3 linked regions of the Drosophila melanogaster genome follow. The protein of the gene in region 1 interacts with the protein of each later gene in a pairwise test. Each region holds a gene or a part of one and is shown on either strand. Other genes may lie near its edges. The genes, in order: Mpi, Ptp61F and CG17560.

Region 1 (3,755 bases):
CTTTAGCTTACATTCTTAGCTCTTAATTGCAAGTAAATATAAACAAAATAATTCACCACCAAAACGTGTTAATGGATTTATTGCACTGTACAAAATATTTCGATTAACTGAGAATTTTAGGGCACTCGAAAGTAGTTGCTGGTTGCTATGTAGCCGCTGAAGTCCTCGTCGCAATCGTCGGACTGGGCGAATTCGATTTCCGGCGCCGCCTCGACGGGAATGTACACAATGCTGCCGCGGGTTACCAAGATCTCCTTATCTCCCTGCTGGGTTTTCAATTTAAGAATGCGGGATCCCTTTAGAACTATCAATATGGAGCCGAATGCTTGTATCTCCAGCTTGTACGACTCCAGCGAGTGTTCGATATTCACATTTATCACTGCAAAGTCGGATACTGGCGGAATATAGACCTGGACCTGGTCATCTATGCGGTACGGAATGAACTCCTTGCGATCCTTATACGAACTTTCGAAGATCACAGATTCCAGCAGCTGGTCCACATCCTTGTACTTGGGCGTTAGGCCCGCCCGTATCACATTGTCCGAGCAAGCCATGCACTCCACACAGTCGCCGTCCAGGTAGGCATGAATCTCGTTCGCGCCCAAGTAGATCGCCTGGCCGGGCTGCAGGCGGATTAGGTTGAGGAAGAACAGGGACAGTACGCCCACATCGCCGGGGAAGTCTTTGTTGACCTTGGTGAACACCTCAAGCAGATCGTTGGATTTCAGTTCTATTTTAGAGGAATGTTTACAAATCTTTCATAGATTGCACAGAATGGCTCACCGTTTTGGTAATCCTTGGCTATTTCACTGATGCACTTGGCTATCACCGGCTCTTCGGTCTTCATCAGCTTCTCGTAGCACAACTTAACGCTTTCCGAGTTGGTCGAGTCATGGAGCTGATCCACAGCCTCCTTGCCAATGAGTTTACTCAGCGGCTGGAACTCATCGATGTAGTCCCTGATATCTTCGGCTGACATAAATCCCACGAGGGCCAGAAAGGGCGTGAGGGCAATGGCCAGTTCCGGCTTGTGATTGGGATCCTTGTAGATATCCGGGCGCTCCTTGTGCAGGCGCTCCGCTTCGCACTTGTTCGGATGCACCTGGATGCTGAGTGCCTTGTTGATGCTTAGCACCTTGAACAGGTATGAAAGGTCCTTCTTTAGCACTCGGTCCAGAGTCTCTCCGGTTTCCTTGACCACGGACACACCGCACACATGCGTGCCCATCCACATTTCCGCATAGGTCTCCTCCTCGTTCAGACGAAAGTCCGGATCATTGGCCATTGCCAGCTGGGCCACCGCCGAGTTGATGCCCTTGCGGCCCCAGCCGTAGTTCTTCACCCATCCAGTCAGCTCCATTTCACCGCACCGATTGCCTTCCAAAATTCGCCGTACTGCGTTTGAGGTCAACCTGAAGGTGATAAGAAAACATATGATTGCTGGTGAATGGATACGTGTGAGAGGGGTTGGTCTGTGGTGAAAGCGCCATTAAGTGGATTAGCGTTGATACACCTGCGACATAAGGCTTATCACACCTTTTTATATAGATAACAGCTTTCTGGAAGTTTGTAATTTCGATTTTATTGCCGAAATAATTTGGTGTGTTTCCACCACTGTTACTTTAAATACATATATCGCGTTTAAGCTAGAGATGGGGATATTGCGATATCCCTAATGACTAGTTCTACATATATGACGATACTTTAATACTCTATAATTTAATTTATATTTATTTTTGGTCAGCAAAAAATATATCCGACGTGCCGTAATGTGTCATACTCTATTTGGCAATTTATGTTTAGTTAGAGCGTTTGAGCTTAATTAGGCGCGATTAGATGCGATTTAGGGGGGATTTTGAGGCGACTTTAGCGCGATTCGGACGCGATTCGGGTGCGATTTGGCCGCGACTTAATTTTCTATCAAGATATAGGAAATTCCTGAAATTTTGATTCGCTTTTATTATTGCTTTTATTTTAAATTTTTACAACTGTGCCATTAACAAACGCTTAGCTTAATTTAATAAAACAGTTTAAAGTGTGATAGGTTTTGTCATTTGGATTTCAAACCCTCGCTGTCATCTATTTTGTCTATGACCTGTTTTAAGCAATCTTTGGTCGAAGTCCTTTCCAAATCGCAGATGCGTGTCAGATCCATCGTAGCGATCTGCTCGATCATTTCCTTGATCTTCTCCTGCTTTATGATGGACTTTACGGATTGCCGTAATCCAGCCTTTCCTTGCGTTTTTTGGGTCTCTGCGGAGTCGTTTTCGATTTGTTTGCCCTTGGCGCGGTAGTGCTGCTCGATAATTTGTCGAATCTTCATCTTGGTGGCTGCTCTCGACTTCTTGGTTGCCTGTCCCAAGGCGAGGGTTCTCAGCTCCTGGAAATTGATCTCCTTCAAGGGCGTTTCGATGGTCTCTGCCCCAGCATGGGGCTCAGTATCCGTTTCCAGTTCTAGCGACATTTCCTCCACAGTGGACACGATGCCATCATCATCATCCGCATCGACTTGTAACCTGGATTTCATTTTCGGATCTCCTATCACTTTTGGAAATTCTTTAACAGGAGCTAATAACGTTTCTTTTTCCACCGGGTATGTCTTAGTTTTTGCTATTTTCTCTTTTGTTTTTGATGCCTCTTTTGGAGCCACTGGTCTCTTTTTAAGTATACCAATGCAAGGCTTCGTCTTTATTCGCACCGGCAGCAGAGAATTGTATTGAATGCCGATGCTGTTGAAGCAGTCAATAAACTCTAGCGTATCGAATTCGTTTTGGAGCGATGCCCATAGTTCAGTGTTTTGCTTGTTCTTCGCCTCGACCAAAAGATGTGTGTATGCAACCAAATCCGCCTGGGTATAGTTCATTGTCTCGTCCTTGCTGTAAGTCCATTCATTATTTATTTCCATAAAACGCGACACGCCGCTCTGGGCGGCCAAGTTGGAAATGTGAACGGAAACGTTTGAGGTGCCAGCTTCCAAGCGATGCAATCGGGAGAGGGCTGCTCCGCCCGGATAGTTGGTGCCCGAAATGACAAGCAGGAAGAGCGTTATAAAGACATTTAGCAGGAGATGGGCTCCACAGGCGAGCGCCAGAAAGCTATGCCACGTTGACTTGGCGCTGTTCATCCAACTAAACGAGGAAACCAATAATAGAAATGCATTTTACTAATGAAATAATACGACGCTTACATTCGTTGGCATGCGCAAGCCGCAGCAATGTTGAGAACTGGAAACACGTAGATGATGAAGCGCAGCTCCTTGTGCGGCAGAATGGAGTACAAAAGGACAAAGAGGAGAGCCGACAGGACCAATGGCCGAATACGTGGCTCCAATGCGACGCCGATGGGCACGAGCACCAGCGATGCACCCATGGCACGTGGCAGGGCGGAGTAAAAGTACCATAGAAAAGGCGAGGTACCCCAGTTGGAGCTCTTATTGAGTACGGTGTTGTACCATAGCACCTCACCCTCGGGCCAAAGCAGGCGGCGCCAAAAGAACGAGTCCACCAGCACTGTGGCAGCCAAAATGCAGACGCCCGCCGGCAGTGCAACTTTGAGTAGCCTATTTTTACAAATATTAGCATTGAATAGTATGCAATGATTGATAATCTTCACCCGTCAATGGAAACTTTTCGCCGTAGGAGGCTCACCACCAGCAAAATACCCAAAAATAACGCCAACTCGGATCGAAAGACGAGAATGGATATACCAGAGCAGATGATGAATGGCTTGTGCTGGTCGCGTAGCCAATAGGCAAT
Region 2 (3,755 bases), on another chromosome or scaffold:
ATGATTAAACATAAAGCAAAGCATAGCAAAACAATACGGTCCGAATGCGTCACTGCGTTTTTGGCTACAGTCCAAATCCCCTATGATGGGCTATCATATGGCAAATGTCAAATAAATTGGAAGTTTTAATGATAACCACAAAATTAGTTGTACCGTTTATGTTCACACATATTTGCGATTTATTAATTCTTAGAAGAATGTGTTTTGGAATTTCTATAATAAAGACAGATAAGTGCCTATAATGGATTATAATTTTCTTCAGAAATGTAGTAGCATGCACAGCTAAATGTTATTAAAGTAAAAATTGGGGTAGGTCGGTCTTATTCATAAAGTAATCATCGAAAAATGTGATGTTTTCACATTGATCATAGTTGTTTTTCATTGCAACAAAAATGAGTCAACGTTTACATGCTATGGAACATATAAAATTCAGCGAATTTAGATGAATTTCACGAAAGTAATATTATCAAGCTGAAAACTATTTATGATTTAATGAGAAAATATGATTAAAGAAAGTTTATTGAAATCTCACTTTGGCCTAACAAGATCGTCTTAGTCAAGTTGCACTGTATTTCAGTGGAAATGGCTGGTAGCTATTTTCCAGTCAGTTTCGACGCACAATTGCGGGCTGCCTTCCAGTTAGCTGGAAAATTAGATTATCCTCGACGCGAGCACAAAGGATGACGAACGAGGATGCCGAGGAGCGGGTCCAGAAACGAGATATTTCTACACACGACCATATACTGTGTCATCCTAACTGCGGAGTGGAATTCCGTGAAATCCCAATTCAAGTGAGTGGAAGCGCTGAAAGAGGCACAGAGGAACAGAGGAGGAGGAGTAGCAGCTGAAGACAGTTCGCCGGAACTGGCTATAAAGAACGAGTGGAGGTGGAGGAGGAGAGAAGAAGGGGCAAGGAGAGGATTCCGACTCCAATTCCGACAGGCAACCAGAAGCAGCCCAAAGCGAGACTCAAAAAACCAGACGCATGCCCTTTGTGCCCCTGTGTGCGTGAGCCTCTCTCTCCTGCTCAACGCGAGCGGGTGTGTGTGTGTGTGCGCGCGTTAGAGGAGTTCTTCAGTGGAGAGCACTGTCACCCCTCCACGAATTGTATTTTGTTTTTGGGGGACGGCAATCACAAACACAACGAGCTTCCCAGAAATCGCCTCCAATTTGATTTGGCCAAACGAGAATTCGCGGAATAGCTCAAGCGCTCTATTGATAGTCAAAGGAAAGCGTTTTTGGGGAAAGGTATGGCAGAATAACAAGCATAAATATGCCAAATACAGGCCAATACACACGCACGAACTCACACACACACGCGTTCGATGGAGAATGCAAAGTAAAGTGCAGCAGGTGTGCGTGTATGTGTGTTGGTGCTATTCTGTTTGTACATTCTTTTCCATGGGTTTTTGTTTTTGGCCAAAGCCTGGCTGTTAAAGCAACAACTGCAACAACAACAGCACTGACACACAATACACACGCACACACGTAAAGCTCGCCGCTGCACTGGTGTTGGTGGTGGAGGCATCTGCAGAAGCCTTTTGCGCACTCATCACATTTTCGTGGAAATCGGAGCGCCAAGGAGCTGTGGAAAGGTGTATACTCCGCATCCGTTGCGAATCCTTGGCGAATCGAACTGTGCCACAATCATTCGTCCAGTTTGTAACCAGTTTTCAGTGCAGTCGCAGTTGTTGTTGCCAATTACCTTGTAGAAGCGATGCCATTGCGGCCCCTTGTCCTTGTACTCCGCCTCGATTTGCAGACGGGCAGCGGCCGCCGACCCACTCCCACTCGTTTTCTGCTCGCTCATTGTGCACACTTTGCTGCGATTTGTTCCGATTTAATAACTTTTAATTTGGTTATCAGGCGGCTGGTTAATTTCAGAGGAGAACTAGAGCTGGACAACTCACGACAGTGTCGATGTATCGAATATTTGAGCTTGCGAAATACTATCGGTATTTGCAGTGCGATACCGAGTGATAGTTCGATTGTACATCACTATATTGATCGCATTACATATTATATTCTCTTATGGTGATTCCTATTTACAAATGCAAGCCAAACACAATATATTGTATCTGCGACATTATTATTCTGAAATATTAGTTACGTCTATCGATATTTTCACCATCAAATAATGTGACCAGGCGCTGTAGAGCAATAGAACACATACTGAAACTAAAGTGCTTGCGCAGAAATTAGAACTTTACTGAAACATAATATAACATTCGGGATAAGTTTTCTATAATTTATATAAAATTAAATACTTAACTAAAGACATAACAATATAAAAACAATTGAAATAAAATATTTTAAATAAAAATAAAATAAAAAAAATAAAATAAAATATTTTAAAAGTAAAATAGAAAAATTCTGATAAGAAAATTGGGTTCAAATACTTTAAAATACCGATATTACAATCGCTCATCGTTGACCAGTGTTATCGAGTAATACCAAAAGTATCGAATCAACAACTGTTACCCAATTTATTAATAACAACAGAAAGAAGCCAAAGCAAAATGCTGACCCGCGTGTTCCGCCTAGTGCACGACAGGCGCCTGAGTGTGCCTGTCCTGCGTTGCTTCCACCACGAGTTCTCCAAGCCGCCACAACAGGCAGCGAAGGGCCAGGAAATCGAAGGCAATCCCGAAAAGACTTTGGTTGCCGGCGTGCAAGACAAGTACAAAATATTCCGCGATGAGGAAGCCACGGAGATTTTTGATGTGGAAGAGGCACGCCACCAGGAGCAGCAACTTCCAGAGCCGGACCTGGAGCTGGATCACTATTACGGCCTCAATTTAAAGCGTAGGTTGGCAATCGTCCAGGGAGAGCAGAAATTTAAGCCTTTGTTTCCCTTTGCAGGAGGTGTTCGCGGAGTGTTCGACGTTGAGGACTTGGTGGAGCTGCTCCGCAAGGAGAATGTGGACGACATATTCGTCTGCTACGTGCCGGAGAACCTGAAGTACGTTGACCACCTGGTGGTTTGCAGTGGTCGCAGTTACCGACACATGCTGTCCACCGCGGAGTTCGTGCGCCGAATGTTCAAGATCAAGCGGGGCAAGGGTGACATATTGCCGCGCATCGAGGGCGATAAGAGCCGGGATTGGATGGCCATGGACTTGGGTGGGTATTGAAATAAATGCATATTCCGGTTTCTCCGCTCTAACACGTTCCGTTTCCTTTTAGGCAACATTGCCCTGCACATATTTTCACCGAGTGCTCGCGAGGAATACGATCTGGAGTCGCTGTGGGCCATTGGCTCCGAATTCGACCGCGAAAGCCAAAAACCCACCAATCCCTATGGCGATATTTTCATGGCTCAAACACCCCTTTCTTTCGTAGACAAATCGAAACTAAAGACGTAAAATAATACATTTCACTATTAATAAAAAAAAACTCTTTAGAGCTGCGTACGTGCGAGATCACTTGCAGTGTGATTTGGAAAAACAATAAGGTATGAATAAATATTTCGTGTCAGACTTGTTATTCTCGTGTCACGGCCAAAATAACTATGCGATCGCCCATCTCTAGTTTCTTACTGGGTGCATTCGCTCAGGCAGCCATCTTTAAAATAACTGTAATTTTTATTAACATCGAGCTCTAATAGGGCAATAATAGCCATAATCCGTCAGAATATGACAGCAGTATTTCCAAACAGGAGCTAAATTCTTTTGTAGATGGCCAAGCGACGCTAGCGCCACCTATTTCTGAAAATCTGATAATAACAAGTGCGCACTAAAGTATACTGCAAAAAA
Region 3 (3,755 bases), 6.9 Mb from region 1:
CTGCGTTATCTACAACATCAAGGAAAATTTCTACCCCGAGCATCTCAACTGCAGTTCCGATAAGGTGCTTGCAATGGCAGAGCTGATGAGTGACGAGCTACTGGACAACATGGAGCAAGCGCTCCTTGGCTCGTTTCCCAACACGTACACGTACACCAAAGCACTGGCGGAGGATGTGATCCTGAAGGAAGCGGGTGGCTTGCCACTTTGCATCTTCCGACCGGCAGTCAGTAAGTAATCCTTATTACGTACTCTGTCTACATCTTGTCATTTCTACCCTTACCCAGTTATTGCGGCCCACAAGGAACCCATCTCCGGCTGGATAGACAACATGTACGGACCAATGGCAATTCTTTTCGGGGTGGCCCGTGGAGTACTGCGCATTGCCACCATCGATCACCATGCCGAGGCAAGCCTGGTGCCCGTGGATTATTGTGCCAATTTGACTCTGGCCTGTACCTGGAAGACCATTGTGGAAGGTAACGAGATGGGAACACAAGAAACTCCTCTCATCTACCAACTGGCGCCCATTGAGCAGAACAAGATCACCCACGGGGAGTTCATTCGACATGCTCTCGATGGACGCACCAACTGCCCGCTGACAAAGATGATATGGTATCCCTTCATCCACTGCATCACAGTGCCGTGGCTCTTCCCCCTGGCAGCTTTCTTCTATCACACCCTGCCAGCCTACTTTTTTGACCTGGCTCTCTGGCTGAGTGGCCGGAAGCCCAGACTAGTAAAGGTTTACCAAAAGATCCACAAGACTCTCGGCATCCTGGGCCCATTCGCCTGCAAAAGCTGGCGCTTTGACATGCGGAATACGGATCACTTGAGGCAGCAGATGTCGGAGGAGGATCGAAGGATATACTACTTTGATATGGTCAGCCTCAACTGGAAGGAATACTTCGTTCAAGCTCTGCGTGGCATGAGACAGTTCTTGGGAAACGAGGCACCCACCCCAGAGTCCATTGCACAGGGCAAGAAGCTCATTAAGCGGTAGTTTCCATTGTCTTTTCTGTTTCTTACAAAGTGTATTACATCTAATTGTATTTTAGTTTAAAGCTGCTCCATCATATCCTGCAAGGTGTCCTTTGCTTTGTGGCACTACTAGCACTGTGGTCGTTGGTAAGGATCCTAGTCTGATTCAGCAGTACATAGGCAACCCACCGACTCACTTTCGTAATTGCGTCATGGAATTAAATAAATATATACAACACATAGACATGTCTTTTATTTAATTACTTGAATGGTGGTAGCTATAAGGTTTTTTCCTCACGAGCCGATCTAAATAGGTGCACTGAGTGACACAATCGATTGCATAAAGTATACGCAACTGGTTACATCAAGAAGTGATATATATACAATAGTATGCACCTATTATAATGTAATAATTTTTTAATTGAAATCGCTCTCTGGTATTCTATTGATCAAACCTTATTGAAATAAATAGGCCATAAATTGGTATATAAAATGTTATGATATAACATATATATGTGTGGTTCCTATACAGAATACAAGGTCTAGCACATATACGGTGTAGTCACGAGGATACTTATATGCGATTACGTAACGACTGATCGGGGACTTCTTACACGTGCCCATACAAAATTTATATACGCGGAAATACAAAGTCATCGCATGCAATTTATCATTTACCATTCTTGTTTACCATTCACACATATACTAATTTGAATTTCACGCAAGAGATGGCAGCTCTATACTAAGTCTCGAATCAACTTTAAAATTTTAAATTAAATGCACCAAGGTTATTTTCATTCGTAAGCAAAAATATAATTAATAAATGCAACTAGGCCTTTAATCGAAGCAACACAAATAATTATCTATACCCAAAAAATAAACTTTCGCTGAGTTTAGAGCACGAGCTCCTCCCTAAAACGGGAGACCATTGGGTGTCTTGAATATGCTGAACTCGACCTTTGTTGGGTGTAACTTATAGATTCCCAAATAAATAGAAGCGCTAGTTTGGAATCACTTTTCAGTTCACTGGCTCGCAACGCGTTCAAGACCCTTACTCGGAACAAAATGGATAGCGAGATACAAGGATTCTTTAAGAACAAGACCGTGTTCCTTACGGGTGGCACCGGATTTCTGGGAAAAGGTACCCCACTCCTCGAATCTTTTCGCAAGCTTATGGAGTGTGCTTTTCAGTGATCATTGAGAAACTACTGAGGACCACGGAAGTCAATCGGATTTACTCCTTAATTAGACCTAAGCGGGGAGTGCCTATCGAGGACCGAATCACAACCTGGGCAAAGGATCCGGTGAGTGATATTCAGTGCTAGAGTGACAGATGTGTCCTGACCGCTCGTGTTTCGAAGGTGTTTGAGGTGCTCCTAAGGACGAAGCCAGATGCCTTGCAGCGAGTTTGTCCCATCGCGGGCGACTGCTTGGATCCGGATCTGGGTATAAGCCAATCGGATCAAAGGATCCTGACCGCCGAGGTGCAGATTGTAATCCATGGAGCTGCAACCGTGCGATTCGACGAGGCTTTACACATCTCCTTGGCCATCAATGTACGAGCCACTCGTCTGATGCTTCAACTGGCCAAGCAGATGACCCAGCTGGTGTCCTTCGTTCACGTATCCACTGCCTACTCCAACTGCGTGGTGCATGACATCGCAGAGCGATTCTATCCGGAGCACTTGAACTGCAGTTCGGATAAGATCCTAGCCGTGGGTGAACTGGTAAGCAATAAATTACTGGACGCGATGGAACCTAGCCTTGTTGGCTCCTTCCCCAACACGTACACCTACACCAAAGCCCTGGCCGAGGATGTGATCCTGCGGGAGGCGGGCAACCTGCCACTGTCCATCTTCCGACCGGCGATCAGTAAGTGCACCAGATTGGGAATAACCTTCAAAAGCTGCAACTTAAATATTCCCAGTAATGTCCACTTACAAGGAGCCCCTGGTTGGATGGGTGGACAACCTATTCGGACCACTGGCCCTCTGCTTCGGCGGAGCTCGCGGTATAATGCGGGTCACCACGGTGGACCCTTCAGCCAAGATCAGCCTAGTTCCCGCTGACTACTGCGTAAATGTGGCATTGGCTTGCGCTTGGAGAACGGCGGAGATATCCGTACAGAATGGAAAGGTCACGACGCCCCCCATTTACGCGTTTGCACCTAGCGAGAATAACCTGATGAGCTACGGAAACTTTATCAAATCATCTATTATCTATCGGGACATCATACCGCTAACCAAGATGCTGTGGTATCCCTTCGTCCTGTGCATCTCCACCACATCCCTATTTCCGCTGGCCGCCTTCTTCTTACACACCCTTCCCGGCTACTTCTTCGATCTGCTGCTGCGCCTCAAGGGCCGGAAGCCCATACTCGTGGATCTGTATCGGAAGATTCACAAGAACATCGCCGTCCTGGGTCCGTTCTCCAGTACCACCTGGAACTTTGACATGACCAACACAATGGAGCTAAGGGAAGCGATGTCCAAGCAGGATCGCAACCTTTACGACTTCGACATGGCCCAGTTGGATTGGAATGACTATTTCAAGGCCGCCATGTATGGAATGCGTCTCTATATTGGCAAGGAGAAACCCACCGCGGAGTCCATTGCCAAGGGTCTGAAGCTGAGGATGCGGTGAGTTTCAAAATGACACTTTCCAATCGCTTTAAGTAACATAAAATGTTTGCAGCCTGAAGGTCCTTCACTATGCATTCGCATCCTCGCTGGTTGCTTTAGCTGGTTACATCCTGTATTCTCTGGCCAGACTTG

Evidence for each region.
Region 2: the proteins of Mpi (region 1) and Ptp61F interact in a two-hybrid assay, tested with the Drosophila melanogaster proteins (one large-scale study listed by BioGRID).
Region 3: the proteins of Mpi (region 1) and CG17560 interact in a two-hybrid assay, tested with the Drosophila melanogaster proteins (one large-scale study listed by BioGRID).

The regions. Positions count from the first base shown.
Region 1 is NT_033777.3:9,757,507-9,761,261, reverse strand, and holds Mpi (mannose phosphate isomerase), read right to left. Parts: upstream 1,641-3,755; 5' UTR 1,537-1,640; intron 1,413-1,536; 5' UTR 1,361-1,412; coding exon 784-1,360; intron 731-783; coding exon 117-730; 3' UTR 54-116; downstream 1-53. Other genes in the region: Alg12 alpha-1,6-mannosyltransferase, read right to left, coding at 2,051-3,128, 3,188-3,559, 3,613-3,755.
Region 2 is NT_037436.4:1,348,667-1,352,421, forward strand, and holds the start of Ptp61F (protein tyrosine phosphatase 61F), read right to left. Parts: upstream 1,934-3,755; 5' UTR 1,811-1,933; coding exon 1,706-1,810; intron 877-1,705; exon of another isoform or gene 533-876; intron 1-532. Other genes in the region: CG9166 (uncharacterized protein), read left to right, coding at 2,520-2,805, 2,863-3,123, 3,187-3,365. UniProt on the Drosophila melanogaster protein: Non-receptor protein tyrosine phosphatase. Required for maintaining dock/dreadlocks in its non-phosphorylated state. Negative regulator of InR/insulin-like receptor signaling through dephosphorylation of tyrosines when recruited by dock/dreadlocks.
Region 3 is NT_033777.3:16,615,935-16,619,689, forward strand, and holds the start of CG17560 (uncharacterized protein), read left to right. Parts: upstream 1-2,015; 5' UTR 2,016-2,046; coding exon 2,047-2,122; intron 2,123-2,172; coding exon 2,173-2,285; intron 2,286-2,342; coding exon 2,343-2,853; exon of another isoform or gene 2,854-2,908; coding exon 2,909-3,620; intron 3,621-3,675; coding exon 3,676-3,755. Other genes in the region: CG17562 (uncharacterized protein), read left to right, coding at 1-230, 288-999, 1,059-1,146.